2 linked regions of the Arabidopsis thaliana genome follow. The protein of the gene in region 1 interacts with the protein of each later gene in a pairwise test. Each region holds a gene or a part of one and is shown in the gene's direction. Other genes may lie near its edges. The genes, in order: AT1G14950 and AT5G57860.

Region 1 (15,308 bases):
AATCAATCCTTAAGTGTATACTGTATGCTAACTTTTTTGAGAAAGTTTAAGACTTCAGGAACAGGCAAATGATAAACTAAGTAGCAAAAGTTACCAATTCGTACTAAAATGAACTTGTGAACATGACGTAACAAATCTAAATCCAGAGTACAATTAGAATCTGAATTGAATCTTACAGAACTAAGTACAAGTACACAATATTTAGATTGAATGGTATAAGCTCGACGAAGTTGTCTGCTTCACATCTTTACCACCGAACAATCCTTTCCCCAAAACCCAACCTTCAATCATATCCCTTGAATTCACAGCTTTATCTGTCGGAACAAAATGACCAGCTCCTGTAACCGCCACGTGGCACAAATTCCCCCATCTCTGAACATAACCAGCGACCACACCGTCTTCATCCTTCCACACACGCCTCTCCGCCGTCGAGAACATTCCCAATCCTGACCAGTTCATAGTCTTCATCCACTCCTCCGTCGAAACGACGCCGTCTCTTAGATCAAGCATACCTTGATACAGCAAGACTTGAGTCCTCTCCAATGCGTACTCCACCATGAACTTTACGCTCTTCATCACGTCTGCCCGCAACACATCTTCTACTTCATCACTACATTCCTCAAAACGAACCGTTTCACTCACTCCCAAAACACGTTTTGCTTCTCTCTGGTTCAAGAGGTCCACCACGAGGTCTGTTCTGTATGGAATCGCCCGTGCCGTGTTGTAGAGCGTCGCGAGTCCTGTCATGTTACTTAGTAGCGTCAACAGTTCGGTCCTCGCGTCTGCTGCTTCACGCCATTTCTGGGACTTCACGAGAGCTACAGATATCTCCTGCGCTTTTTGCAGTTCAACTCTCTGTTTTGCGTTGACCAGACCCGAGTAGTAGACGTTGACCGCATGGGTTTGAACCTGGGTCACCGGGTCGGTCAGCCCGTTTCCAATGGCTAGCCCCTTTAGATTCACTTTCCCATTGGGTTTCTCTTTAAGGATATAGTATCCAATGGCTGGAACGTACTTCCCGGCGTAGCTCTCTCCAGTGAAGTAAACCGGTCGGTTTTCGAAGCTTGGGTTTTGTTCAAGGAACTCCACGAGAGCGGCGTAAAGATGCTCAGCGACCTGTCTCTGATTTGTGGGTATGTCTTGTTGTGAGGCTGCGATGCTGAATCCGACTCCTATTGGGTTATCCACAAAAAGTAGTCCGAATAGACGGTTCCATGCGCCGGGGTTGCGCTCGAGGTCTGTGGCGCGTGAAACTACACGCCAGGGACCGAGCTCGTAAAAGTTGCCAATCATTGAAGAGCAGCCTGGCCCACCTTGGAGCCAAACGAGGAGCGGAGTGTCAGGAAGAGGTGTGGTTGGCTCTTGGGCTTCGTAGAAGGCATAGAACATGGACGAGCCGGGTGCGGGTTTAACCGGGAGGTAGCCAGATTTAGTGGGGAGAGCTTCATCGGGAAATAGCGGTGGCTGAGGAGACTCAACGGAGACGGCGAGGAGGAGAGTGGAAAGCAATATGAAGAGTGTAGTGGCTTGCTCCATTATTTCCACTAATTGGTGACGCCTTTACATAAAGATCCCTTTGTATTATTTCATTTATTTCATTATTTGACTGCAAAACATTACGTTTATGTTTTGTCTTGTATAACATGTGAATTTTTAAATGTGTAACAATAACATTTTTGTCAAGACGTGCTTGCTTACTAACCTAATTGCATTAACATGTGAGTTTTTTAATTTAAAGGTTTTTGTTTGTAGATGATTTTCCATAATGTATATTATTTTAAATTTATTGTTGCCAAAAGAAATAAAATCTAAAAGTTTTATTGGGCCGAAAAGAGAAAAAGGTCAGATAGGCCCATAAAAAGTTGGACAATACAAAGCGTTTACAATTTGTCAATTGCAAATTTCGTGAGATGCTTCTTCTACTCGTCATCTCTGTTTGGTAAAGTGATCACAAGGTGTTCGATATAATACCTGAAAGAGTTTCCGAAGGTGTGAAGATGATGATCTTGGATGTTTGCTCAGAGGTTATAAAGATCCAGAAGCTACGACGGGCTGTCTCTTACGCCGGATTCTACTGCTTCACTGCTGCCCTCACATTCTTCTATACAAACAACACGTAATGTCTTTCGTCCGATCTCAGTTTGCTTCTTTTGGTTGTTCTTTCTTTTCAATATCGGAATTCGCAGATGATTTCAATTTCTGGGTTCTTCTCTTGGTTTCTGCTTCAGGTTTAATTTGATTTAATGTTACTGATTCGAATGTTGTGTAGAACAAGAGCAGGATATTCCAGGGGAGATCAGTTTTATGCATCTTACCCTGCTGGCACCGAACTTTTGACCGACACAGCTAAGGTTTGTCCTTGATGACAATTTTGAGTTGTCGTTTACAGTTTATATAGTTGATTAGTTCTGTGTGGAACTGATGATTGGGGTTTATTGGAGTAAAGCTGTACAAAGCGGCGCTTGGGAATTGCTATGAATCTGAAGATTGGGGTCCTGTTGAATTCTGCATAATGGCTAAGCATTTTGATCGCCAGGGAAAATCTCCATACGTTTACCACTCCGTAAGTTTCTTCAATCTCTTTATGATAATCTCTGTGGTGCGGATATTTTAGTGTTGTAAAGGTCAGTTTCCATAAGTCTAGAATCTTGATGGTACTGACTTTGTGGTGCCATTGATAGAAATGTTTGTCGAATCATGTGGGGTTAGAACCAAGAATTGAGCTCATTTTATTGTGAATGCAGCAATACATGGCTCACCTTCTATCTCAAGGCCAACTCGATGGAAGTGGCTAGTGGCGCCAGCTCTCTTTGTTTCAGCTTTGTGCCTAATCTTGTTATAGCAAATTCGAATCCTGGTATCTTGGAACATTTGTATGGTGTTTGTATAAGTCCGGAACCGTACCATTGGCTTACATGGATTATTCAGATTTGTACTCTGAAAATTAAGAGCATGTAATTCCCGCAGAGGCACAATGTAATAAACATATAGCATAGCAAAGCAACAATCCGGGGAAAAACTTTGGTTACCACCTTGAAAGAAATGGGGAAAACTGACAGAGCAAGAAGCTTTCCATCATCAGCAGAGACGTTTGATAAAAGAAAGGTCAAGATTTCATTCCACGAAAAATCTGCCGAAAATAAACATCTCATTCTGGATGTGGTATATGAAATGGGATTGTACATGGAGTTTGAAAAACTTGGCAAAGAGAATCATGGAAGGAACTAACCATTTGAGCTGCAAGGTCATACAACACTTCCAAGAATTTATTTAGACAAACACAAATGCGACTGGTTTTTTTTAATGAGTGAGGCCCATTAAAGAAATAGTATGATATTATAGGCCCAAACAATCCCAAAACCCTTGGCCTTTTTCTGTCGCGCTAAACCCTACGATCTAGAACCTTCCGTCTTATGTGTCTCTGCCCCAAATTAAAAACTCAGAAACCCTAGAAAATTCCGATTCATCAACTGAGAGAGAAGAAGAATTGAGAAATGATGAAGCGTCTGATCCCAACGTTCAACCGCATCTTGGTGCAGAGAGTCATCCAGCCCGCTAAAACCGAAAGCGGCATTCTCCTACCTGAGAAATCCTCCAAGGTAAAAGAGCTTTGATTTCACGATTTGATTCTTCTGATTTTCGCCTCTTAGATCTGAAAAATAAACATATTTTTGGGTGATTGCAGCTGAACTCAGGCAAGGTGATAGCTGTTGGACCTGGATCAAGGGATAAGGACGGGAAATTGATTCCGGTCTCTGTGAAGGAAGGCGACACTGTTCTTCTTCCAGAGTACGGTGGTACACAGGTCAAGCTCGGCGAGAACGAGTAAGTTAAACCCGCTTCTTTCTTATTATTGCCCTAATATTCTGATAAAATTCTGATCTGATCTAATTGAACCTTTATGTTTAGCTAATCATGTTCAGGAATCATTATCCATTAATTAGATTAATGGATGGAACTAAGGGAATTACTTGTAAGACTGTGAAGATATTGAAAATTTTGTAACAGAGGATTTAAAAACATTTTGATCAATGTTTAATAATGCCAATTTGAACACCAGATTTACATATTGATTGGTGGGTTGATTTTAGAAACGAATAAGAAATTACAAATGAAGAAGAATTTGACTCAAAGTGAGTAACTTTTGTGTTTGTGTGATGGACGCAGGTACCATCTCTTCCGGGACGAGGATGTTTTGGGAACTTTGCACGAGGATTGAAAAGGCTAAGCTTGCCAACTTAACCACGAGGGTTCATGTTGGTGTTTGTGTTATGAGGAGAAGTCATTTATAAATTAGTTTATCTTGAAGATGTGGTTGGACTTTGTTGTCGTTTATCATTGAATCTACCTTTATGAACCTGTCTTTGAATTTTTACAAATGGGCATCAATCACATGGATAACCCAAGTGTTGCATCTTCTCATTTTGTGCTTTTCCGTAATCTGTGGATGCTTTTCGTTTACGTTTAGGCAGCAACTTCAATAGCCAATGTAGACGATAGCTTAGTTGACTTTGCTTATTCATGATCATGCTATAACAAAAGAAATAAGCTCATTTGGCCGCATGGCTTTTTTTATATAGCATCTCCTTCTTCACATATTGACAACTGAATCAGGTCGAGAAGTAGGTCCATGTCTATGCATTCTGAAAGTTGTGTCTTTTGATTTCCTTTTCACAATGGTTGGAAAACTACTAATTTTGGATTTTCAGTTGTTTAACCCACTCGTTTGGATGATAAGACAACTGTAGTATATTGTCTTGTCGCACCTTCAAATTTAGTATAGGTTGGTTGATTGAAAATATTTCATCTTTCTAACCAAAAACTGAAAAATGTGTATGAAACTCATTGCTATTTTTGGACAAGTCTCTCTGCCAATACAAATTAGACCATACGTAGAAACCGATGCATTGAATTCTCACGTTTAACAATAGTTTTCCATAGAAACTGAAATCAAAGAATTGAAGAAAGAAAAAGACTAAAGAACTATAACACATAAGAAAAGCCAAATAAATACTCAAGTACATGTGATTAATCGATCATGCTTCCACCGCACGAGCGCATACATACATAACATAAATAAAATTTCTCTCTCTTTTGCTTACTTCACTCACAGTTTCGCCGCCGGGATAAATCCGTTCAATCGGCGTTTGCCACCTGCCATTGTTACAAGCAATGCATTATATCGTTAATGGCGTAGCGCATTGAGAAGAGAGAGAGAGAGCAGGGAAACAATGATTTCCCAGGTGGAGAGAGATCTGTCGATTCAAAATCGGCTTCCGGGAAGCGATCACACTACTCCTTCTCCGCCAACATCTCCTCATCTCTGCCGGAGCCGGTCGAAATCCTCCTCTGTCTCCGGGCAACAGCAAAGTCGGAACGTCGCTCACCGTCTCTCATGGATCATTTTATCTGTTCTTCTCCGGCGTCAGGGAATTCTCCTTTTCGCTCCTATCATCTACATCTCCTGTATGCTTTTTCACCTACACGCGGCGTCGTTTGATGCCTCTCCCATTATCCACCGCCGTCCTGCTCCGGGATCCGTCTACCGGAGCCCTCAGGTTTACGCTAGGCTTCGCGGCGAGATTGAAGCCGATAATACCACGGCTGATGCGGTGAGGTTTGCCTCCGTTTTATCCCGCTTGTGATATCGTTTTGAGAATGTGGCCATTGTCGAACATAGATTGATCCAATTAGAGTATAATATCTAGGAGAACGTATAACAATGTTGAACATAGATTGATCTCTGTTCTTTTCTTGTTCCCATTTGTCATGTATCGTCAATGCAATTGTATTCATTTAAGATATCAACAATTTGGAAGCGTTCCTATAAAGGTGTAGAATGGAAGCCATGTGTGAACATGTCTACTGGAGGTATTTTACATTGTTCTCCTAGTTTCTTCGTTAGTGTTCTTTGTCCTAAGTAATAAGTTGAATCAATTAGGCTTTCTTGTTGTTGTTTGTGTTAACAATTGTAGTTTTACCTGTGTCAAATGGTTTCATATTTATTGAGGCAAATGGAGGCTTGAATCAGCAGCGGACTTCGGTAGGTTAATCATCTTACATCAAATTGATTTTTTTCACACAAGCCTTTCTTGCTATTGTCTGGCAAACTTGTCAAAGGTGAAGCTGTTGACTTGTCTATTCCATGTTTTACTTAGATATGCAATGCGGTTGCTGTGGCAGGCTACCTTAATGCGACCCTTGTAATTCCCAACTTTCACTATCACAGCATATGGAAAGATCCGAGGTTTCGGATATTTGTTTTCTTATCTTCTCCTGGTGTTATAAATTTAAGCAAAGCCATCCCTGTTTCAACTACTTTCTGAAAAAAGGTTTTCCTTGCAGTAAATTTGGGGACATCTATGATGAAGAGTACTTTATCGATACCTTAGCAAATGATGTGCGGGTGGTCGATACAGTTCCTGAATACTTGATGGAGCGTTTTGACTATAACTTGACAAATGTCTACAACTTCAGAGTTAAAGCATGGGCACCCACCTCCTATTACCGGGACTCAGTCCTGCCAAAGCTGCTTGAAGAAAAGTGAGTCACACCTCTTTTGCTAACTAATAAACTTTAGTTTCCATAATAAGCTGTCTTGTTTTTGTGTAAGGGGCTCTTTATTCTGTTATACTACACTGATTTTGAATTGTTTGTTGTCTTTTGACGGCACAGGGTTATAAGAATTTCCCCATTTGCAAATAGACTTTCGTTTGATGCTCCTCGAGCTGTCCAGAGATTTAGATGTTTGGCGAATAATGTAGCCTTGCGATTTTCAAAACCCATACTGACCCAAGGAGAAACATTGGTGAACAAAATGAAGGGTCTTAGTGCAAACAACGCCGGGAAATACGTTTCTGTGCATCTTCGTTTTGAAGAGGTTTGTAACCTGTAAAGAAGAAACGCATCAGGAATCTTTCACTTGTCCCTTTATCATGGCTGATTATTCTGAAAACAGATCTGTATCTAAGGTGAGAGATATAATACACTATAAGAACATGTTGCAGGATATGGTTGCGTTCTCTTGTTGTGTATTTGATGGTGGAGACCAAGAAAAACAAGACATGATTGCCGCTAGAGAACGAGGATGGAAAGGGAAGTTCACAAAACCGGGCCGTGTGATACGACCAGGAGCTAACAGGCTCAATGGGAAATGCCCTTTAACTCCTTTAGAGGTAAGCATAAATACTTTAGAACCTGGACATTACTCTACTTATCCACGATTGTGGTCTATATTAAGTATTAGTGTTACGAGAATATTGTTGTATATTATTTATCCATGGACACTGCTGTGGAATAATCAGAGTAGTTGTGCAAACCCTTGAGCATGTGAGTAGATTAACTTGCTGATATTGGTTCAATTTTCGTTCTTGTAAACCTATCAGGTCGGTTTGATGCTTAGAGGAATGGGCTTCAACAAAAGTACATATATATTCCTTGCCGCTGGCCCGATATATAGCGCAAATAGAACTATGGCCCCACTACTCGAGATGTTCCCTAATCTACAGACAAAGGAGATGCTTGCTTCTGAGGAAGACCTGGCTCCTTTTAAGGTTTCTACGATTTTCCACTGTTTGTTCATCCAGGATGAGTCCTTTCTGACTTGTAAACTTATGTGTCTGTGTTTAGAACTTCTCCTCGAGAATGGCTGCAATAGATTACACGGTGTGTCTCCACAGTGAGGTATTTGTGACAACACAAGGTGGAAACTTCCCTCATTTCCTCATGGGGCATCGGAGGTATTTGTTTGGAGGACATTCAAAGACGATTCAGCCAGACAAGCGAAAGTTAGCCGTACTCTTTGACAATCCCAAGTTGGGGTAAGAACTCTAACCTCTTCCACCTACAAACATGCTTTTTTGGTTAATAATATCTGGTTGATCCCTCAATGGTTGTTTCTGATATTACGGCAGATGGAAAAGTTTTAAACGGCAAATGCTAAGTATGAGGTCCCATAGTGACTCCAAGGGGTTTGAGCTGAAACGATCAAGTGACTCCATTTACATATTCCCTTGTCCTGATTGTATGTGCCGGAAGAACAAAACAACAGCATCAGCCACCTGACACATTCTTTTACTGGATTCTTCTTGTGCATTCTTTTATTTACATGTGTTGCTAATTCTTTCAATTCTTTGGCCACATCCGCATCCAAACAGAGCGAGAGCGAGACAGAGAGGACTTCCCAAGCATTCTTCTTGGGGGAGATTTTTTAACACATTGAAGCTGATGTATCTAACACGAGAAACTGAGATTAGTTCCCACGTTTGTTTCTGGGCGGAGAGGATAGCATTTGGATGTTCATTTGTGTTTTGCAGTTTGAAAAGTTTTTTGAGTTTTGTATAGTTGGTGGTCTAGTGTTGGGTTTGCCCATAAATAAATGTAGATCATAGGGGAGAAGAGAGCTGCCAAAAAAATTTGTACATTGATTGGTTCCTTTTTGGTTTAATCTTGTTTACATTTCATTTTAAATATTATCTTTCTTATGGTTCTTCCAAGTGAATGTGGTGAGTCCAATGTTTTTTACTGTCTGTCATTTTAGTTTCCTACGAAAACAAGGCCTAGAAGCTAGAACCATGTTTAGTAATAAGATCTTGAATAATATTCGTCTTGTTAAAAATGGCCACTCTCGCTTTGTATGCGCTTGATTAACACATGAACCTACATGCTTATTCCACAGTTGGCATGCCAGATTACATAGCTCTATAAGTTCTATTGAAGAAGGGCTATGAATTGGAATATGATTGGTACGCAATTGAGACTCTTTATTGTGCACCTTGACGCTTTTGCATGCTTTTGTTCTGAACCATATCTTATTAGGGAAGGAGGGGGACTAAATGCTAATCAATCCTTGTTTAGTATCTCTCGCTACTTTTGTGTCACTGCCATCATGCTCACATTTGAATGAGTATACATCTTCGTGACTCTGCTAGTCTGCTTACGTAAGTGGTCATTAACCTCGCCGTCGATGGTGGTTATAGACTTATAGTGTGGTTAAGCCTTAACCACAACTATTTCGGGGTTCTGAAAAAAACCCGGTTTAGTGTTACCTGTTTTATGATGAGCTTGGGCCTTTGCCTTTAACAATTGGGCCTTTGTATTGTTTTTTTGTTTTTTTTTTATTTTTATTGTTTTTTACATCTGAACGTTTGAAGTTGTTTATTATTTCAATGTTTACTTAAAAAAGTTATATCATCCGAATGCATGTGCCATTATTAATTTCCGAATTCAATGTCAAAAGATCTTACATGAGATCATCAATAATTCAGTATCGAGATACCCCTCTATTATTGATCTTAGTTTAACTTGAAAGAAGGACTTAGTTTAATTATTTCAAATATTTAACTTTGAACATATATTTCTGGTCTTAGTATATATGGTTATTTCAACTTTAAAACTAATTATGATGTTGACTTATAATGTAATGATTGAGTCCTATTTAATCTAAATATGACATATATATATATATATATATATATATTATATTGAATGATTTTTAACATTCTCAACTTACTTTTTTTTCTAAAATCTCTTTTTCGATTGATATACGACATTACTCAATTGACTAATCTTTTTGAAAAATTTGTGTGAGTCAGCAAATGGCTGGCATCTGTTTTTATATTGTATAACTAGTATTCGCGGTTCATTAAAAATACAAATTTAGTGATATTGTGAGAGACAAGAATATACGCAATTATTTTTCTAAGCATGTTGAATAATCCACAATTTGATATATGGTGTGAAATGATTGCATTAATATTAGAATATTAGCTAATCATTTCTAAGGGTGTAAATTTTTCCATCTAAAGGGTACTAGTAAAAAAAATTCTATAACGAATTTCTAAGGATGAAAATTATAACAATCAACATATTAACTGATTAATTTAGCTAACTGAACACATGATCATATAGCATATATATATATATCAATACGTGACTATAATTGTTTATAATATATGAACCGTCAACAATTTAAAAGCCGTATAAAAATTTTGGTAATAGTTTCCTTGTTAACGTAGCTTGGTGTTGAGCTTGTCTATATAAAGGAAGGGAGAGATCATAGTATTTGCATCAGAAAACAGGAATAAAAGCACTCAAAAGTCAAAGCGCGCGCGCGCACACACACACAAAAAACAATCCAAAGCTAATTGATTCATCAATGGCGATGTCGGGAACATACGTGACGGATGTGCCTCTTAAGGGATCGGCGGAGAAACACTATAAGAGGTGGAGGAGCGAGAACCACCTCGTCCCTGAAGCTATCGGCCACCTCATCCAAGGTGTCACCGTCCATGACGGCGATTGGGACTCTCACGGCACCATCAAAATCTGGAACTACACTCGTGGTTCGTATTTATACTCTTTTTCTCTTTATATAATGATACAAATGACTTAAAGGGTACACCTAGCTATATGTGATATTCATGAGTTTCCCTTACAAGTTATTTGTTTTAACATGGAAAAGTAGGGTTTGGTTATGGTTAGATATAAATGTGTATGTTGATTAGTATACAATCTTGTGGTGTTTGCGTGTGTGGTGAAGATGGGAAAGAGGAAGTATTGAAGGAGAGGATAGAGATGGACGACGAGAATATGGCGGTGACGATCAATGGACTCGATGGTCACGTCATGGAGGTCCTCAAGGTTTATGTCACGACGTTACATTTCATCCCCGAGTCCAAAGATGGCTGCGTCTGCAAAATTACTATGGTCTGGGAGAAACGCACCGAAGACTCCCCAGAGCCCATCGAATTCATGAAGTTCGTGGAACAGATGATTGCTCACATGGACGACCACATCCTCCAAAACCAGGAATGATGGATCGATGCTTAATCATCATCACATCCTCCTTTTATTTATCTTAATTAATGTGTGTCCATCTCGTACATGATATTAATATCATCATGGTGTTGTATGTCCAACGTTTATTTATAAAAGTATTGTTGTTCGTTTTTTTTTTGTCTTTCTTTTTAGTCACCATGATGTTCGTTTATTTAATACGTACTTGTACAATCTGGTATGAGCCCAAACTTATCCGGAAATAGTTGGGGATCTAGGTCAAGCGAGATAATCCAAAAGTATTACAAAAAGGCCGGTGCAGTGGTACACAGTAACATAAGAGATTTTAATATTTTCAAATAAGTTAATAACCCTAATTCTAAGATCAATAGTTAGATAACACAAAGTATGGCAAATAACCTAAAGCGAAGAGTGGGAATAGAGATGATGACACATAGACCACACGTGTGGACTACCAGTATCACTATGACGTTGAGTAGCATTAAATAACCCAAAACGGTCGAAGTTTCACCTACTTCTTTTTTTTGTCCGTCTCTTTCGCTCAGGTCTTTTTTTTCCCCTTTACTCGCTGTTTATCTAATTATCAATCTGTGATACATATATCTCCACTTTTTGTAACTGCATTCCCTCATGGGTTAAGCTTTTATCGCAAATATTGTAATATTTTTCTGCTTTGTACAACATTTTTAACAAATAGATAAGTATGTTCCCAAATAGTTGGTTTATTTCCAACTGTTTTCCCTAAGTGTTTGTAAATTGTAAATCTGATTAACGTGAGGAACACTAACCATTCCAATTCAACCGGCCAGCAAATCCCAAAAATTTGTTCCGACCATATATAATAATTTGATAGTTTTCAGCACAATGGATGGCATGCAAAATATTTGTTGGTCATTTTTATTATAAATTCGAACGTCACATTTTTTAGTGGTAACGTTACATCTGTATACAAAAAAGACAAACAAGATTTAATCCAAACTCTACAGCACATATATTTTAAGTAAAATCTGATTTTGATTTTATATATGTTTAATTCTTGAAAAAGTCATACATATATATCTGGTTTCTTGTAATGTTGTGACGAGTTTGTGTATATAAGCGAAGGGGGATGCTTTAGTTTTTGTACACCTCCATAGAAAATAAACAATTGGCATTTGCATAAACACTTTCAAAAACAAGTAATCAAAAGTATTTTAGAAGCTTCATCATGGCGACGTCAGGTACATACGTGACAGAAGTTCCTCTGAAAGGGTCAGCGAAGAACCACTACAAGAGGTGGAAGAGCGAAAACCAACTCTTCCCTGACGCCATTGGCCATCATATCCAAGGTGTCACCGTTCACGAGGGCGACTGGGACTCCCACGGGGCCATCAAGTCCTGGAACTACACATGCGGTCCTCTATCTCATTCTCTATTTGTATGAATATGTGTTTATTACTAGCTAGGGTTTCTATTAATGAAAGGTTCATGTAAATATATGAAGATGGGAAGCAAGAGGTGTTCAAGGAGAAGAGGGAGTTAGACGACCAGAAGATGGCGGTGACGTTTAGAGGGCTGGATGGTCATGTGATGGAGCAGCTTAAGGTGTATGACGTCATCTTCCAATTCGTCCCTAAGTCTCAGGAAGGTTGCGTCTGCAAAGTCACTATGTTTTGGGAGAAGCGCTACGAAGACTCTCCAGAGCCCATCAAGTACATGAAGTTCGTCACGAGCTTGGCTGCTGACATGGATGACCACATTCTCAAGAACCAGAGCAAGGCTTAATCATCATAGTGACCATACTTATGAAGATAAAAATAAATAAAGAAACATCCTAATATATATGTGTGTGTGTCGTTTGTGTTTGTCTTGTACATGATGAAACCGCCTCCTTGTCTTGTGTACATTTTATGCTGATAATAATGGCGGTACGTCTTGTAAACTTATGCATGTATCATCTCTGTCTTTGATGATTTGATGTTGTTATGGTGTAGTATTGGTGTTCGTAATATATAAAGAGCACAATATTAGGATGTATAGTCTCACTGTATATCACATAATTAATTTCATAAAGAAAGAGAAAAAGTATTAAAGAAATTTGTACGAGGTAACAACTTGACTAACCTGCAGAATCCAAAATATCCATTAATGAATCAACAAAAGCAGACATACAAAATAAAACTTACAAATCTTTTGCATTAACTATAGAAACAAACAAACCAAACCACATGTATGCTCTTATACTGATTAAAAGTCATGTAAATCCTATAACAAAAACATACTTCTAGTTAAAATAATTTACGTATTAAAACTACATAAAACAATAAAAGAATAAGAATGTTATTAAATAATCATCTTAATTTGACATCTTATCAGATTTCTTTAGCTAAAAAAAGTTTGTTTAATGGTTGGACTTGCAAGCAACACCATGAAGGTGGTATAATTATAGTTATTTTTTAAATTAATTTATAATTATAGCTTTTTATCTCAACGAAGTTGCATCATTATTCCAAATAGGTCTTCGTGCAACAATATGATCCATGTAGCGCTTGCAAATGATGCATTACTGATTTTTGTCTATCATATATTATCACATTAGTCTTGATTTTTGTAATCACTTCTCAGCTTCTTCTACTCTAATTATGCTCTGTACAATTTATTTTTTCAGTAAAAATAACCACAATCAAATAAATATTCAATGAATAAGAGAAGATAGATTTGTAGTAATTAAACCATAGTAATTTTTCTGTATGTAGGTTCAAGTCTTTTGAATTTAGAAGTCTATAACTTAAAAGAAACGGAAATTAAGATATGCATGTGTGATAAGAAAGTACTAAATCCGAAGAAAAAAACGTATGGGTGCAAAGAATCTATAAGGAGGAATAGATGGACATGAAGACACTTAGTCCACACGTGTGGAGCACCAATATCACTATGATGTCGTTGATCTGCAAATTACGCAAAACCTCTTATGCCTAGGTTTATTCTCTTTCTCAGTCGGTATTTATCCAATGAAATGATTAATCATCCAGTCAATAATCGGTTACCTAATACCTATGAGTCTCTGACTATATATGAATAATGACATTCTAACCGAGTCGAAACTTAATCCAGCTTTTACAAACTATCTTCACATGTCATCACTTAAAATGATATGGAGGTTGTACTAGATTTAACGATATTTCCAAGCGATTGGATATTTTAGATAATTCAATTTGTAGTTTATAGATTAAATATTTCCTCTTATACATATATTGAACGTTTGAGTTATGGTAAGGAAAAACTAACTTGAATTGGTCGGAGACTAAAACCTAATATGCTTTAAGAGACAATGGCGTGTTCGTATAATAGGTTGTTAGTCTATGTTTGGTTTGGGATTTTTGTTGTTAGAATCAGAGTAATAGTTCAACTTTCTATTAAGGTGTTTGTTTTTCAAATATTAGCTTTACTTTTTAATTTTGATTTTGGAGTTTATAAAATTCAATCTAGAAACTACAGTTAAAACAAATTAGATCTAGAACTAGAGTTAAAATAGTCAACAATCTAGCTCAAAAACCGGTCGTTCAGAAAGAAACTATATATGGGTGCACAATTTTATTTCTGGAGTAAAACTAAGCATTCATACTCAGGATCTAGTAGATGGTGAACAAATGATTTTTTTTAGCTCTAATTAAAAGAATTAAACCCTATATTTGAAGGAGACAATTATGTATAATGTTACATATACATATATATATATAGCCGTTTTGCTATTTGTAGTGTTGTGGTGAGTTTCGTGTATATAAAGGAAGTGCGACACTTGAGTATTTGCATCAAACAAAACACTTGACACATTTCAAAAGAAAACAATCAATCGAGAAATGGCAATGTCTGGAACATACGTGGCGGAGGTACCGCTTAAGGGATCGGCGGAGAAACACTACAAGAAGTGGAGGAACGAAAACCACGTCTTCCAGGATGCCGTCGGCCACCACATCCAAGGTTGCACTATGCATGACGGTGACTGGGACTCCCACGGCTCCATCAGATCATGGAATATCACATGCGGTCTCTACTTTACCTTCTCTCTTTTTTTGTAGTATTTTGGTAGTTTTAGATTTTTGGTCCATATATTTTTTGGGGCCAAGGAATAAGGTAGATAAGTCCTCTCCCAGATGTTGGTAGCTAGGCCTCGAACCTTCTCAAACTCTCCTCCAAGAGTTTCAAAGTAGGGCTACCGACACCGGGTGTCCACTCTCTTTAATCATGTTTGGTAATACGAGGATTGACGATCGGCTAATTTGGTCTAGCATTGTGTGTGTGTGTGTTTGTATGAAGATGGAAAGCCGGAAGTCTTCAAGGAGAAGAGAGAGATAGACGACGAAAAGATGGCGTTGACGTTGAAAGGGCTAGAGGGTCAAGCGATGGAGAAGTACAAGAAGTATGAGGTTATCTACCAGTTCATTCCCAAGTCGAAGGAAGGCTGCGTCTGCAAAATCACTCTCATATGGGAAAAGCGCAACGAAAACTCCCCCGAACCCATCAACTACATG
Region 2 (16,214 bases), on another chromosome or scaffold:
TAAGCATCATCTCATCTGCTTTCTTTCCATCTTCGACTGTCACATCCATTACTTTCACAGTTTTAAGAATCCCCTTGCTTACAAGCTGTTCAGCGAGTGTAAGTGTTCTCTTTGCTGTACATCCGCTCAAAACGTTATCAAACCGCGGCATCACAAGCTCCTTACCACCATTAACAACAAACGCCACATTCATGTTCGGGCCTTCTGCAATAAACCCATCTTTACACACCCAAATACCTGCATAAGCTCCTTTGGCCTCAGCTTCCATTTGTGAGAGTACGTTAGGGAGGTAGTTAACACTTTTCACCGTGGCAAACTCTGGAGGCTTTATGGGGATGGACGAGGTCACTACCTTGACACCTATTGGGTTAATGGCGAAGTTCGTTTTTATAACAATGGCATAGAGAGTTGGTTTGAGACATTGAGATGGAGATAGGAGGAAATCCCCTGGCCCTGCAGAGAGCCAGTATCTTAGAGATCCATCTCTACATCCAGAAACGCTCACGGTTTGAATGAGAATTCTTTTAATAGTTTCTCGATCGAATGGAAGTGGGATCTTAGCCATTGATGCAGATCGCAAGATACGGTCAAGGTGCTGATCCAATTCATAAAGGTATCTGCTTATTCGTAGGACAACAAGCGAAGCTCAGATGATTGAGTAATAAGACAAATTAGAAAAGGGGGCTACTATTTAAAGTGACTAACCCATTGATGATCAGGGCAGTGTCAAAGACTCCATGACCACGGTGAACCATGTGATCATCCAATGGAAGAACCATCGCTGCTGGATCGGTTGTAATTCCATCAACAACACTTGAGTACATGGCCAAGAACTGTTGTCCTCCTCTTGCTAGTTTTAGCCTCTCACCAACCTTTTAAACCAAACATACTTCACTGATACTCAATCAATCAACGCCTCTAAACATAAACGGATAACAAACAAATGTCGCAATCCTTCATTACGGGCTGCATCTATAATTTCATTGACAAAACACAGAAATGTCTGGTGGTTGTGTCAATAAACATCTCTAGCTAACAAATTGTGAACAGTTTCAAGAGTTAAAGATATGATTGATAAGTACAGACATAAAAGAGAAACCATAATTACCTCATAGCTAGATAAAACAGGAACATTCCACGACTGAGAGCTTGAATCTGTGGAGAAACGAATGCAGATTTTTGTCATCAATTCCAGAACACTTATGGAATTTAACGATCAACAAATTGATCTCTTTTTTAGGGTAATAAGTGTACATTACCCTAAAAAGATTATAATAAATGCATCACCAATCACAATCCAGAAGAAAAATCAGAAAAGAGAGAACACAAGGTAGAAATGTCGAACCAGAACACATGAGAATCGTTCTTCTTCGTGTCAACCGACGCGGGAATCGAAAGCCATGTCTTAAAGGACATGGAACTTGAGAGAGAGACCTGAGATTCCAAGTGTTAACTGTAAACTCCAGCGACAAACCTGCCATGGGGTTTGGGACTCAAAAGAATAGAGAGAGAGAGATCATTCGGAAATAGCAACTTGCTTTGCATTATTATTATCTCAGTCGTGAACTGGAAGAAGACGAAAAAATATTTGGGCCTAACTTCACCACAAAAATAAAATAAAGTTATTCGGCCCATAAGCCCAATATGACTTTTCGCATTGTATTTTAATATTCAATCAATCAAAAATAAAAGCCTAAAACAAAACAAACCCTCTCTGTCTTTTAGTGGGTTTTGTACGACGCCTAATCGATGTTAGTATTATATCTGTAGCCAAACAAGCCACCAAAGTGGTATTTTTCTTCTTCCTTCCTTACCTTGTAGGGCTCTGAGCTCGAGTTATAAAAAAGCCAACTTTGATTTCTTTGCCAGTATTTCATCCTTAATCCATTCTTGTGGTCACTTTTTCGTCCTTAACCCATCTAGGTAAGTCGATTTCATTGTTTGTTATTTGAGTCAGTAATTTTTGAAAATCTTTGCTTTTTTTTCTTTTCTTTTGAATATCAAAAGAAGAAAAGATTTGGGGGATAACTAGATCATCTCTTTAGTTAAATTGACTCTTTGAGGTGTGTCAATTGTCACTGATAGTCTGATTAATCTTTTATTGGCATCTTAGAACAGATTTTGATTCTAAAGTCTTGTGAATCGGCAGCGGAAGAAGAGTGAATTGTTCATCCTTATCTTGCCATGGTAAACATTCTACTTCTTTTGTTCACTTTGATGGGTTTGATTGTTCTTAGTATATTCAATCCTTTGCTTATTTGACGGGAAGTAGAGATGTTTTTGGAATGAGAACATCTTTTCCCTTCTTAATTCCAGCTTCCTGATCACATTTATTACTGTTCTTCTTGGAGTAATAAAAGTTGAGATACTTTTGTCTTGCAATAATTTTGCTTTAATCAATCGAACAAGTTAGATTTTGGCCATATTGGTTGTAGTATTGATTAGTCTTGTGTAATATTGTTTGCAGGCTATGTATATTCGTGTGAAGCGCATGAAAACTACTTACTTTATCCAATGTGATCCAACAGAGACTGTTTTGGATGTTAAGCAAAAACTGTTTGCTCTCATTGAGCAACCAGTTAACAATCAGCGTCTGGTCTTAATGTCTACCGAAGAAGTATTAGAGGATTCGAAATCCTTAGCAGATCAGAAGGTATCACACGTTTGACTATCTAATATATTTATCTTTTGAGTCATTGCTCAAGTTTAAAAGAAGAACTTGGTCACATAGCCACTGCCTCCGTTTGCGTGTATTTGAAAGTTATAAGCTTGTCACCATCTTCTTTTTTGGTTGTTCAGGTTGAGAATGATGCAGTTGTGGCTTTGACTTTGAAGAAAGGTTATACCTTAGATCCTCTTATTCTGAAATTTTCAATTCCTTGTTGAAATGTCGTAATGGATCATGCATCTTGGTTAATTACTTATCACACTTCATCTTTCTATATGTTATTTGGTATATGAACCCTTCAAACTCCATTGACTTCAATTGAGCCTGTTATTGTGAATCTTAGTTATTTTGTTATCACTGGATAATCTTTTGGTATGTTTAAGAGTCTTGCCTAACTTTTGTGACCGTGATATAGCTGAATGTGATTCCTAATCTTATTATTCTTTTAGCCTTGTTTCGATTACACAACTGTTGAGGATGCTGTATTGCATTCTGAATCTATACAGCTATGAACGGCATAATGATTGCATTGCATCTCTTTTTTCCATGTGCAGATGATAACGAGTTTGAGGATGTCAACATTGCACAGCCCACCGACTTCTCACTTTCATGAAGAGTTGCTTACTGTATCAAGGAAACTTCAGGAGAAGGTATTGATTCAAAACACAAGGAGGAGTCTATAAACGCCAGAAGTTGTTTCTTTTGCGTCTCTGCTTGTGTTAACGCCTCTTTAGTTTGTTACAGACAATTGTTGTAAGTAAAGATATTGAGATGTGGAAGTTTGATTGCAACTTGCCAGATTAGTAGTTTTTACAGTCTCTTAATATGTTTACAATGAGCTAGAGGTGCAGCTAACACGAGCCGAGGAAGCTCCATTATTACCATTTGACATTGTTCATTGACGGAAAACCCAATGAGGGTGACAAAATAAAGAGACAAAAAAACAAAATGAAAGGACATAACTGTAATCTTAACGGAAAAAAACGTTAAGGCTATAAGTGTGTCTGGTTCGGGAAAAAGAGAGGAAAAAAACCCTAATAAAGAGAAGGGATTGTGTCTCCTTCTCGACTTCTTCTTCTTCTTCTCATTTCTCAATCTCAACTTTTCTCTTCTCTTCTCTTCTTCGCTAACGGCAGGAGAGAGAGAGACCCAGAAATCCGATCCCTCCTCTCCTTGGATTATCGGAGTCAGCGATTCATCGTCGCTGATAAAGCTTCTACCTTTCTCTTCGATTTTTGTTGTGAGATTCGATTCGATCTTAAGGCGGATTAGATCGAGGTATGCAGCAAGGCGATCAAACGGTTCTGAGCTTGAGACCTGGTGGCGGTCGAGGAAACAGACTATTTGGTTCCTCTTCTTCTTCTTCGTCTCTCTCTTTTGGCTCTCTTTCATCTTCGGATCTACCTCTCCTTCGTCCTCATGGTGGTGCTCCTGCTTCCTCTTTTCCCTTCAAGGTACCCTCATTTCTGGGTCCCCTCTCTAAATTTGGATCTAACTCCCTCTTCTTCCTCTGATTTAGAATTTGTTTTATCTCTCTTGTCTTAGCTTGAGCTAAAAATTTATCCTTTTTTACGGGTTTGTCGCAATCAGCAGCCTTTTTGTTTGGAATTATAATCTTTGGTATATTGCTGATTTGATTCTCTCAAATGTCTGAATTGGCTAATATCTTTCTGATTTGCGAGTTTTAATGCTTTGTGTTTGTAATAACTACTGAGCTCATGTTGGATTTTGATAGGTGTCTGCAACATACATAATTGAACTTCATAGGTTTATATGTCAATACGAGTAATGCAAGCAGTTTGTTTGTCCTGATTCTTAGTGGCGCACGCAAGTATGTGTTTCTGCTGTAAATATGGACGTATAATGATATGTAGGCTTTTAGGTGGGCATTTTGTTAGCTGCTATTTGCTCATAAAGGACCTACTGACATTTCTTCTAGTTTTTCTTTAGTTCATCACTCATTTCGGCCTTATGGTTAAAGAATTATTCCTCTCTTTCTTTTGTACTGAGTACTCGTGGTTCCTTGTCTCCTTTATACGTTATTTCTTATATGATTTTGTGTATTGGGTGTTAGTTAATGAAGATTTATCCTGGGTTGTGCTTTTGTTTCAGGGTGGAGACTCGAGGTTCGATGGCCGTGAACGTGTGAAGTACACCCGTGAGCAGCTCCTGGAGCTTAAAGAGGTGATTATCCCAGTTAAATAATATAGGATTAAAGCCGGTTTAGTTTCTGCTGTTCGTATTTGTTCTTCCTTAGTTGAGGTCATTGACGTCTGTGCATATATACAGACCACTCAACTCTCTGATGAAATTCTGAGAGTCCAACGGGAAACTGCAGCTGAACTGTTTGGTGAGGAAGGGACTTGGGCACGTGGAGAAAGTGTCGTAAGCAATTTGGTATAGTTTTGTTGAAACATAAATTTTGCATTTTGGTATAGTTTCATGAAGTTTCACTTTTAACACATATCTTTTATTTTAATGGTTCAGGTTCCCGTTCAATCCGCAAGTCGCTTCTCTGAGCCAGACTCTCGTGATTGGCGTAGCCGTTCTACTCAACCTCCACCCTCTGGGGAGGAAAGGTCGTGGGATAATCTTCGTGAAGCTAAAGATTCCAGGTATGTTGAAGCAAGTCAATATAATCGTCAAGACCAACCTAATTCCCAGTTTTCAAGGGCAAACATATCATCCAACCAAGGGGTAATTGATCAATAGATGAATGTTTTTCCCTCTTCTTAGCCCTTTACATTCTGGCATGATTTCTTATTTTTCTTACTTATTTGTATATCGTGTGGAACCAGGGTGGACCAGCTCCTGTCCTCGTCAAAGCCGAAGTTCCTTGGTCAGCTAGAAGAGGAAACCTTTCTGAAAATGATCGTGTTCTGAAGACTGTGAAAGGGTAATGCCGTTGTGACAGTTATTAGTTGTCTAGACTTTTGTATAACTTTCCTTTACTGCCAACATGAAATCTTTAAAATAGACTATGCACACTTACAAAGATATACTTTTCTTGTCCAGGATACTGAACAAGCTAACCCCTGAAAAGTATGACCTTCTCAAGGGCCAACTTATTGAATCTGGCATCACATCTGCTGATATCCTGAAGGTGTATGCTATGTCTCAAGCATAGATGAAGTCTTGTTTGAATCATCTAGGCTGTTTGTGTGGCTAACCCGTGTTCTTTTCTTTCATTTGTAGGGTGTGATTACCCTTATTTTTGACAAAGCTGTCCTTGAGCCGACCTTTTGCCCTATGTATGCAAAATTGTGCTCTGATATCAACGACCAGCTGCCCACCTTCCCACCTGCAGAGCCTGGGGATAAGGAGATTACATTTAAGAGGGTTCTACTGAATATCTGTCAAGAGGCATTTGAGGGCGCTTCTCAGTTGAGGGAGGAGCTTAGACAGATGAGTGCTCCAGATCAGGAGGCTGAGCGGAATGACAAAGAAAAATTGTTGAAGCTCAAGACTCTAGGAAATATTCGTTTGATTGGTGAGCTTTTGAAGCAGAAGATGGTCCCAGAAAAGATTGTTCATCACATTGTTCAGGTTAACACCTATAAGCTTACACATTTTCTTAGACTTCTTTTATTTTGGTATCTAGCATTAACCTTTCTTAATTTGTTCTGTGCACAGGAGCTTCTGGGGGCCGATGAGAAAGTTTGTCCAGCCGAGGAAAATGTCGAAGCTATTTGTCATTTCTTCAAAACTATTGGCAAACAACTTGACGGAAACGTGAAGTCAAAACGGATTAATGATGTATATTTCAAACGCCTACAGGCTCTGTCAAAGAATCCTCAGTTGGAACTGCGTCTGAGATTCATGGTTCAGAATATCATCGACATGCGCTCCAATGGCTGGGTTCCAAGGCGGGAAGAGGTATTCTAGGTTTTACAAGGTTGAGACTTGTTTCCTGCTCCATTGTGTAGTGATTCTAATGTTCTATTTACATTACTCGTGCAGATGAAAGCAAGAACTATAACCGAAATACATACTGAGGCAGAGAAGAATCTTGGTCTCCGACCAGGTGCCACTGCAAATATGAGAAGGGGTATGGTTTCTAGTGGTGGGCCTGTGAGCCCTGGCCCTGTCTACCCTGGTGGGCGACCTGGTGCGGGTGGCTTGATGCCTGGTATGCCTGGGACGCGAAGGATGCCTGGGATGCCCGGAGTGGACAATGATAACTGGGAGGTACCCCGGACAAGATCAATGTCTAGACGCGATGGGCCAGGACCTCTACATTCTCCAGCAGTGAGCAAGTCGGCCTCAATGAACACGAGGCTCTTACCTCAAGGCAGCAGTGGCATTATGAGTGGCAAGACAAGCGCACTGTTGCAGGGAAGTGGTTCAGTGTCGCGTCCAGTTACCGTGTCAGCAGAACGGCCAGCACAGTCAGTTGCACCTCTGACCGTACCAGTTCCGGTGGAGAAACCACAGCCTAGTGGTCCCAAGTTGAGCGAAGAAGTGCTCCAAAGAAAAACAAAGTCGCTTCTCGAGGAATATTTCAATGTCCGACTACTTGGTGAAGCTCTGCAGTGTGTAGAGGAGCTTGGTTTGCCGTCATATCACCCAGAGTTTGTGAAGGAAGCAATATCCCTGTCTCTTGAGAAAAGCCCGCCTGTCGTTGAGCCAATTGCTACACTCTTGGAGTATTTGTTATCAAAGAAGGTAGTCGCACCCAAGGATCTTGAAACTGGGTTCTTGCTCTACGGTGCTATGTTGGACGACATTGGAATTGATCTTCCTAAGGCACCAAACAATTTTGGTGAGATTGTGGGAAAGCTGATTCTGGCTGGTGGTGTGGATTTCAAATTGGTTAGAGAAATTATAGGGAAGATGGAAGACGATAGGTTCCAGAAGATGGTGGTCGATGCAGCTGTACGCATTGTGGAGTCAAGCGAGCAGGGGAAGTCCTTGTTGGCCTCACAGGCTGCAGACATAGAGGCTTGTCGGAATCTGTAAAAGGAATCATTACTTGACGATTTTGCTCTCTCTGGGTCTTATGCTTGTGCGATGAATGTTGTGTTGTAAGCTTGAAGGAGGAGGAGAAAAGGATTCTCAGAACTCAAAAATAGTTTTGCTCTTCGTTGAAGCTTTTTCTTATGACATTATTCTCACCACTCTTCTTTGTGGGCATGAGTCCATGTCCTTTTTTGTATTCTTCTGTGACTTGTCTTTTTTTGACCTTTGCATTTTTGTTTTACGGTCTCAGTTATTATATTCAGTTGATTGTTGTTGAGACTTGAGACCCCTATAAACTGGTCGGTTCAGATAATTACATTGGAAATGTTTGATCATCGTCTTCCTATTATTCCTATCTGATTCTGAGCTAACATTAGTTGAGTAAATGATTCATTCGACCTTAAGCTTTATCAAGTTTGATCAATGGGCCTGAGTGGGCTTTGTAAAGCGTCACAAAAACTCTCCCGCGCAGGACAGAGAATCATTAGTTATTATCCTGAAAACTAAAATACTTTTTTTTTTTTTTTTCAATTTTAAACAAAAATGAGTTCAAGCGTAGCTGAAGCAAATCACACAGAGAAGGAAGAGTCGCTGAGACTGGCAATCGCTGTTTCTCTGCTACGATCTAAGTTTCAGAATCATCAATCTTCTTCTTCTACTTCCCGTTGTTATGTTTCTTCTGAATCTGATGCACTTCGCTGGAAGCAGAAGGTGAAACTTCTCGATTTTTTTTTATTTTTTTTTGCATTTGGTTTTAATGGCCTTCTCGTTGCGAACTATCTGATATATATATCTGGTGAAATCTACGAATTCTAGGCTACATTTCGATTTCTGTTCTTCGTTTAGAAATCTAGGTCAGCTCTAATTGTTGCGAGACGGAGGTTCTAACATAGTGAGATTTTCGATTTTGAAATTAGGCTAAAGAGAGGAAGAAAGAGATTATCAGACTCCAGGAAGATCTCAAGGATGCTGAAAGTATTTTTTTCTGCCTCTCTTAACTTTTGCAAAAATTCGTTTCTGTATTTATTGATTCTTAAAATGGAAAGGCTGCAAGATGTTTCTAGAACTGATTGGTCTTTCTATTAATGCATTTTGTGTCAATTATAGGTTCTTTTCATCGTGACTTATTCCCAGCGAATGCTTCTTGCAAGTGTTATTTCTTTGATAACTTGGGAGTATTCAGCGGTAGGAGGATTGGAGAAGCCTCTGAATCGAGATTTAATGATGTTCTTCGTCGTAGATTTCTCAGACTAGGTCTCTTTTCCTATTCTTAGGTTCATCAGTCTGGTAGCTTGAACATTTTGTATTCTCTTTGTTACCTTTGTGTTTGTGGGCTTAACTTATCAGCTTGTGTTGTCATTTTATCCTTAGCGCGGAGAAGGAGCAGAAGGAAGTTAACTCGATCATCTCAAAGATTGCAGCCCTCAGGTTTGTTTAGGGTCTTCCTTTTCCTGGTTTAGCGTCTATTATCTCAGAGTTTCAATTTCCTTAAAGCAATACAAGAACATATCATAATATGACGTAATGTGCTATATGGGAGAGAGAAGTGGAAAACAGAGTCTATGTAACCAAGCACCATCATTTCATATTCTGGGACTCTTTTTTATTTGAGTTGAAACTTTGACTGCAGAACCGGATTATGAAGAGGAAGCAGAACATCTTAGGATCTCTATAGATTTTCTCCTGGAACTGTCTGAAGCAGACTCCAATGTTAGGCTTTGTTGCTTAAGTTTTTTTCTGGTAATATGCACGCACTCTTAAATGCTTTGCAACTCTGAACTTGCTTCTTATATTCTGCAGGACTCTAACTTCAGCAATTGGTCACATCAGGCTGTAGATTTCATATTCGGTAATATTATTCAAAGTTCCCGAGTTGCAAACAAATTATTTAAGTCCTGAGCTGCATTTCCTTTAATATAAACCTGGTTTGCACTTATGAATTAATGCTCTGTTTGGCATACTCAAGCTTCACTGAAGAAGTTAATATCGATGGGAAGGAACTTAGAATCTGTTGAAGAATCTATCAGCTTCATGATTACACAGTTGATCACAAGAATGTGCACTCCCGTCAAAGGAAATGGTAACTTCAACAGTTTAATAATGATTCTAACTGTGTTTTCCTTCCTAATTATCATTTTTCTACGATTTGTTTTCCTTCACCATCTGTTTTAGAGGTGAAACAACTAGAAACAAGTGTTGGGTTTTATGTCCAACATTTGATCCGTAAACTTGGAAGTGAACCATTCATTGGACAGCGTGCAATCTTTGCTATTTCTCAGAGGATATCCATTTTAGCCGAAAATTTACTATTTATGGATCCATTTGATGAATCATTCCCAGAGATGGATGAGTGCATGTTTATACTGTAAGTATTTCAGATTCAAATGAGATAATGTGTTTCTATAATACTTGGGGATGCTAAGCTTGATTACGTTGTCTAATGAACATGCAGGATACAGCTAATTGAGTTCCTTATATGTGACTATTTGTTGCCATGGGCGAATGAAGCATTTGACAATGGTAATAACTAAAGGTATCATGTATAATATATTAACAAAAAATCAGAGTGGCGCAGCGGAAGCGTGGTGGGCCCATAACCCACAGGTCCCAGGATCGAAACCTGGCTCTGATAGAGTTTTAAATTTCTTTTTTTTTCTCTTTATTTTTGACATCATTTTTTCTTTTCTTAAGCTCGTTTTCTAGAATAATAGTCGTTTCCTACCTTAGCTATATACAGAATTACAATCATAGGCGACAAAAAGAATCACAAAAATTGCTGAGATTGGTTGTATTTTATTCTATGCAGTTATGTTTGAGGAGTGGATAGCATCAGTAGTACATGCGAGGAAAGCAGTAAAGGCCTTGGAAGAAAGAAATGGGTTGTATCTCCTTTACATGGACCGAGTCACTGGGGAATTAGCTAAACGAGTTGGTCAGATCACATCTTTCCGGGAGGTGGAGCCAGCCATTTTGGACAAAATCTTAGCCTACCAAGAAATAGAATGATATCTTTCCAGGTTAGCATCTACTCTGTAGAACTTTCTTTTCATTGGGAACCCTTTTTTACTCCTAATTGATAAAAAGATGGTGTGTGGAAAGCAAGTGACTTAAAGGTACCACTAGTTGATTTGTTAATCATATCACTGCAGAAAATGTGAGAACTGTAAAGACTTAGGTCGATGTCGGCTCTGACCTTTGAACCTTTGGATGATGATGGTTTTGTCATATTATAATCTTGGGTCCACATGGCATTATATGTTTATCTCTCGTTTCTCAATCAACAACCCACCAAATTGTTATTAAATATGTCCTGCAGAAATAATATCTTCTTCAACTACTCTCACGTCTTCTTTTATAAAAGCAAGCCATAGGACGAAAACCTTATCTTATAGCAAAGATGCGTGACATCAAAGGCTTACTCATCCTATCGATCATCTTACTCCTGGTCTTGTCTCAGTCCCTTCTTTTGTGTTCAGGTCATGTCGATCACGAAGCTGGTGTGACAAGGAAGCTTGGAGTCTTCATAAGGAGAAGGGCAAGAAGATTCAGAGGACATCGCCCCACATCTGCTTCCATTACACTTTTGTCAGGCTCCTTCCATATGACTGCTTGCCTTGCCACCTCTAGTTCTTGCAGTTCTCTTCTTTTCTAGGTTCCATCTACTATCAAAAGTAGTTTTCTTTTTCTACTCTCCTTACAAGAATTGTGTAGTACATAGTAACACGTCTTTGTAATGCGTTTATGTAAGTTGAGTTCTACATAAGCATGTATTTGTACAAATTTAATGCTTGAAAATTGTGAGCTTATCATGTTGTCGTTTTCAATAAACCAAAGAAAATTCCTTTTGAACAGCTGCTATATTGATCATGTGTTTTCTAAGTACTCTGTAGGAACAGAGCCAATGTGCCGTATCAAGTTGTTCTAGTCACTTGTTCACTTGCAAGATGACTATATATACCACAACCGTGAATTAGACCAAGGAAAGCCAGTATGACAATAAGAAAGTGAGATCTGATTAGATCTTATCTCATGTACTGTTATGTTCCAACAGCACTGAATACTATCGAGCCTTTCCAGATTCGTCCTGAACTGAAAGAACTAGACACATTCCGGGTAGAAACAATGGTAAGATGCCAAGGAACATTTTGCATTGGCAGACATTATTACAGGGAAGCACTAATCGAACACAGCTGATTTTCTCATTCAGGCTAAGCCTATGCCAGCTTCTCAGATTCCTTTTTCTCTACGAGTTTGATGAAATTGCGAACAATTGTCTTGCCTTCGGTTGTTATAATACTCTCCGGATGAAATTGAACTCCCTGTGAATTTTTTTTTACAAGACTTCAAGAGCTCTGTTTTGAATGGAGGAGGCAAGAAGCTACATTAAACACTTGAGTGGGTTTTACCTGTATATGCTTGTACTTTCTGTGACGGGCAGCCATAACCAGACCATCTTCTGTCCATGCTGTAACCTCGAGTTCATCACTAGGAAATGAATCTTTTTCGATCACGAGACTGTGATATCTACCTACAAGGAAAGGGCTGAAACCAACAGACCAACAAGATTTGTTTCATTACACATTCTTACAGACTTATGATTAACTATATTATACAACACAGAAAAACCTGATTCGTACTTGGATAATCCAGAGAACAAGCCTTCTTCTCCTTTCTCATCATAGTGAACCATTGAGCTTTTCCCATGCATAACACCAAATGGTGACCGCACAATCTTTCCTAATCAATGTTCAAACAAAATTGCATTTAAGTTGTCGATACATAACATAAAGAATAAAACCATGTCTTCTTTATATGCAACTAACCTCCAAATGCTTCTCCTATACACTGCAAACCCATACATACTCCAAATAAAGGAACAAGTGGTCCGAGTTCCAAAACAGTTTGCAAGGAAATCCCAGAGTCTTGAGGGGTACCTATCAAATTCAAGAGAAGTGTTAAATTCTTCTCGAGCACTTCAAAAAGACACACCACATAATCAGAGGCCAAACTATTTACCAGGTCCAGGAGAAATCAACAATCCTCTTGGCTTTTTTCTGCATAATAAAGGAATCAACACCAATCGATTAGCCATATTACGTTTTACACAGAATGTATTTTCCTCTTACCTTTTCAGCTCCTCAACTGTAAGTTCATCATTGCGGTAAACTTCAAAATGGCACCCTAGCTCTCCCATATACTGTAGAAAATATATACAATTCAAAATTTTGTTTATACTGAAGCAGAAGAAACCACATCAAGAGAAATTAATAGTATGCACCTCATAGGCTTACATAGAGAACTAGAAGTAAGACATGATCAAATTGTAAATTTGGGATCTATGTGGGATATTCAGAGCAGCCAAAATTTCATGATAAAGTGATATATTTCAACTACGAATAACCAATCTAAAGTCAAACATAGCAACTCACAAAATCACCAATTCAAACTTTGAACGCGAATAAAGATTCTACTTAAAAGACCAGTCTTTAGGCAGAAAAGAAGTAATGTATTAGGTTTTGCTGGATCTAACAATTACTCGTTACAAGGGCAAACAAGCAACGAGGAGCTTTTCCAAATAAAACAAAAACACAATTCTCCAGAGAAGTAGAGTATTTCGACATAACGACTCTGATCACATTAACAAGAGAGAATCTACACTAGGTAGTCTAATATCTATTAGCATGTAGAAACTAGATTGGATTGTGAAACAATGAGATTCTAACAATCAATCACAATGCACATACCTGAATACATTTCTAATAAAAATGCAAATGCAGCTGCTTTTACACCAAAAAAGATTCAAAAACATTCACAGAGGTAGTGATGATAGGAGATTGTGTTCGAAATGAAACCTGGCAGAGATTGTAAGTGAAGCTGTCGTAATTATCAATCACGATGATAGGACCAGAGGAATTGACAACAACGGAAGATATCGAATTCGATTCCGCCATTTCAATCGAAGCTTTCGCAATAACATCTCTACGACTCTTCCACAAAACCGAAACTCCTATCACAGAGGAAACAAAAAACACAGATAAAAATCGAAACTTTTGATTCGAATAACGCTTCCAGAGAAGACTTACTTGTTGGGTTCGTAAGAGAGTTAACGAGAGACTGGTTTAGGCGGCGAGTGGTGAAGCCATACTTCGGTTGAAGAAGACAGGAATTGTACAATGTAGTAGCCGCCATTGTTTTGGCTCGAAGTTGTCGTTTGGAGAACTGAGAAACTGAAGAACTCGTAACGTTGTCGTTTTAGCATAGAAAATTCCAAAAACTTAAAAATAAATGGGCCACTCGGTTAATATTTGTTTAGACCCGTTAGTAATCGGGTTTAAATGGGTACCCGTTCAAACATTACAAATAGCCCGTTTAGACCCGTGGGCCTAAGGTCCATTTTAACAACACGACATATAACAAACAACCGACCCAAGTCAGAACTATGGGCAGCTTTATTATAAAACATGGCAGTGTGTGTGTAGAAATCAGATTCTCATGGCTTGTATGTCAAATCTCTCGTCATAGAGTCTCCAATGTCCATACCTCTCCGTCTGCGCCACATCCCCTGACCTTGGCACATACACATCTGGCTTCTTTACCTCCTTAAGCCATTTAAGCCTTGACACGTTGCTTGTAATGTCACGGCTTGACAAATGCACACACCCAAACAAGTCCAAGTACTCTAGCTTGGGACAACCCTCACATATCGAAGCAAGACCCTTGACAGATAATCTAGAGAACTGAATCTCCAAATGCTCTAGATTGATCATATGTTTCCCAATCGCGTCAGCTTCTGTGTCTCCGTCTTGAGGACAAGCGTCTAAGTATTCTGTAGGAACAGAGCCAATGTGCCGAGAAGACCAATCCATAAGATTACGTTTCAAGATCCTCAGATTAGGACAGTTTCTACCAATCATCACAAGAGTGTCGTGAGATATCTCGTGACAGTAACTGATATCAAGTTCCTTTAAACTCCTGCACCGAAACGCTATCTTCGTCATCGATGCGTCTGTCACGTTAGGACTGCTTCTAATGGCAAGAACCTGTAGATTCGGGCATCTATTGATATGTCCAAAATCAGACTCGTAGCCATAGAAAATTCCAAAATAGAGGATATCACAAACTCAATCACGATCTTGATAAGAAAGATATTTACCTATCGGCTGCGTAAGAGAGAGCGTGGTCGCTGCAATGGCGGACGCGGATCTTAGTGAGACCACCTTCGCTCCAATCAACGACTGATCGTAGCATTAAGTCTACCTTCTGCTCGAACTCAGGGGACCACAAGTGAGTCGACTCGGGATAGGAATCGAACCATGGCTCCAGATCGAAGATAGACCAGAGATACGGATCTCTGCAAACAGTTAGCCACGATTTTTGGACGAACATCGGACCGGTCCATAGCTCCTGAATCGTAAGCCTTGAAATGATGTTGATGAGTATCTCTGGAGCCAATCCGCCCCAATCAGACCCGTCTTCTTCCATAAAGATTCTTGTTTTGTTTTCAAAGATCGGTTCTTTGTGTTCGGTAATAATGTAGTTTAAAGTTACACGAAACGTGTCTCTTTAGACACGTGTCAATGCATCTGACCGTTAATTTTGTTCCTTGACTTTTGGATCACTTCCATAAATGTCGTTTGCTGACACATGTTTCGGTATAGAAATGTCACGTTTGCAATAAGCCACCATTGGATAAGGTTTTTAAGTTTTCAAGTCACAATTGGATATGTTGTTCAATCAAGATAAGTAAATAAGCAAGCTAACTTTGATGTGAAGCTATGTTACAACAAGATCTATGAGGAGGAACAAAAGGTTCCGTCTTCTTATTTTAGACTCTGAGAGCTGCGACAGGATCTTGCCATGAAATTTTCCTCTTATTTGATCCGTTTCCGCCATTCCTGCAAGAAGATGGCTTCACATCTTTCTGCTGCATCTCAATGCTACTGATCATTAATCTCTTACATGAATTACTTTCTTCAACTCTCGTGTTCTCTTGATTATTGTCCACTGCCTCTGTTTCTTGCTCTTCTTCTCCCTATATAAATCAATTTATGAGTAAAGACATGTTTGGTTTCTAAGTCTCTTCACAATCTGATTAAGAGTGAAAAATGTGCTTACAGATATCTGATTTAGATCAAACAAAGGAACTCTTCTCTTAGGACTGGTTTTGGTTTCATCGTGAGCCTTTTCCGAGTGGTTTAAGTCAGGAAGCGAAACATGCTTAGTTTCCGCCTCACTTTTGTTACTAGGAGACACTTCCACTCGGATCTTCTTCCCACCATTTGATCTTCTGACCTTTTTAATCTCTTGTGGCTGGTCTTGTCTCAAATGTCTGTATCTCCGTCGCAGAAATCTGTTAAAGAGGTTATAAACGAACGATATATTAACAAGTGAGGAAAACATCAAAGGAAAGGACTAATGATATATTTTGTCAAGGATTGAAACTGTCTTTACCTGACTTCAGCCATTAGTGTTGCCTTTCTTTCTCGCACTGCCTGTAACCTTTTTCTCATAGCTTCGGTTTCCTAGTGTATATAATCAACCAACACACGTTAACAAAAGCTCATAACCAAATGATCTCAAAGATCAG

What was found.
Region 2: the proteins of AT1G14950 (region 1) and AT5G57860 interact in a two-hybrid assay, tested with the Arabidopsis thaliana proteins (one large-scale study listed by BioGRID).

Annotation. Positions count from the first base shown.
Region 1 is NC_003070.9:5,154,841-5,170,148, reverse strand, and holds AT1G14950 (Polyketide cyclase/dehydrase and lipid transport superfamily protein), read left to right. Parts: upstream 1-11,879; 5' UTR 11,880-12,004; coding exon 12,005-12,191; intron 12,192-12,280; coding exon 12,281-12,561; 3' UTR 12,562-12,813; downstream 12,814-15,308. Other genes in the region: scpl50 (serine carboxypeptidase-like 50), read right to left, coding at 202-1,536; AT1G14990 (uncharacterized protein), read left to right, coding at 1,998-2,116, 2,270-2,351, 2,447-2,563, 2,625-2,654, 2,745-2,795; CPN10 (chaperonin 10), read left to right, coding at 3,495-3,599, 3,686-3,825, 4,168-4,219; AT1G14970 (O-fucosyltransferase family protein), read left to right, coding at 5,232-5,612, 5,802-5,871, 5,976-6,043, 6,159-6,247, 6,346-6,543, 6,676-6,880, 7,008-7,175, 7,386-7,553 and 2 more; AT1G14960 (Polyketide cyclase/dehydrase and lipid transport superfamily protein), read left to right, coding at 10,157-10,343, 10,541-10,815; AT1G14940 (Polyketide cyclase/dehydrase and lipid transport superfamily protein), read left to right, coding at 14,637-14,823, 15,094-15,308.
Region 2 is NC_003076.8:23,435,807-23,452,020, forward strand, and holds AT5G57860 (Ubiquitin-like superfamily protein), read left to right. Parts: upstream 1-1,747; 5' UTR 1,748-1,923; intron 1,924-2,113; exon of another isoform or gene 2,114-2,149; 5' UTR 2,150-2,184; coding exon 2,185-2,187; intron 2,188-2,467; coding exon 2,468-2,653; coding exon of another isoform or gene 2,654-2,668; exon of another isoform or gene 2,669-2,799; coding exon 2,800-2,839; intron 2,840-3,222; coding exon 3,223-3,281; 3' UTR 3,282-3,597; downstream 3,598-16,214. Other genes in the region: ADCL (D-aminoacid aminotransferase-like PLP-dependent enzymes superfamily protein), read right to left, coding at 1-617, 706-872, 1,109-1,155, 1,346-1,481; eIFiso4G1 (MIF4G domain-containing protein / MA3 domain-containing protein), read left to right, coding at 3,949-4,122, 4,781-4,852, 4,958-5,065, 5,156-5,365, 5,467-5,564, 5,684-5,771, 5,864-6,214, 6,302-6,544 and 1 more; MPS1 (multipolar spindle 1), read left to right, coding at 8,171-8,338, 8,545-8,602, 8,735-8,881, 8,999-9,055, 9,258-9,337, 9,428-9,476, 9,594-9,707, 9,800-9,992 and 2 more; AT5G57887 (uncharacterized protein), read left to right, coding at 11,025-11,279; AT5G57890 (Glutamine amidotransferase type 1 family protein), read right to left, coding at 11,842-11,946, 12,034-12,169, 12,265-12,364, 12,451-12,561, 12,644-12,681, 12,754-12,824, 13,480-13,634, 13,711-13,816; SKIP1 (SKP1 interacting partner 1), read right to left, coding at 14,110-14,683, 14,781-15,109; AT5G57910 (ribosomal RNA small subunit methyltransferase G), read right to left, coding at 15,453-15,659, 15,743-15,977, 16,079-16,149.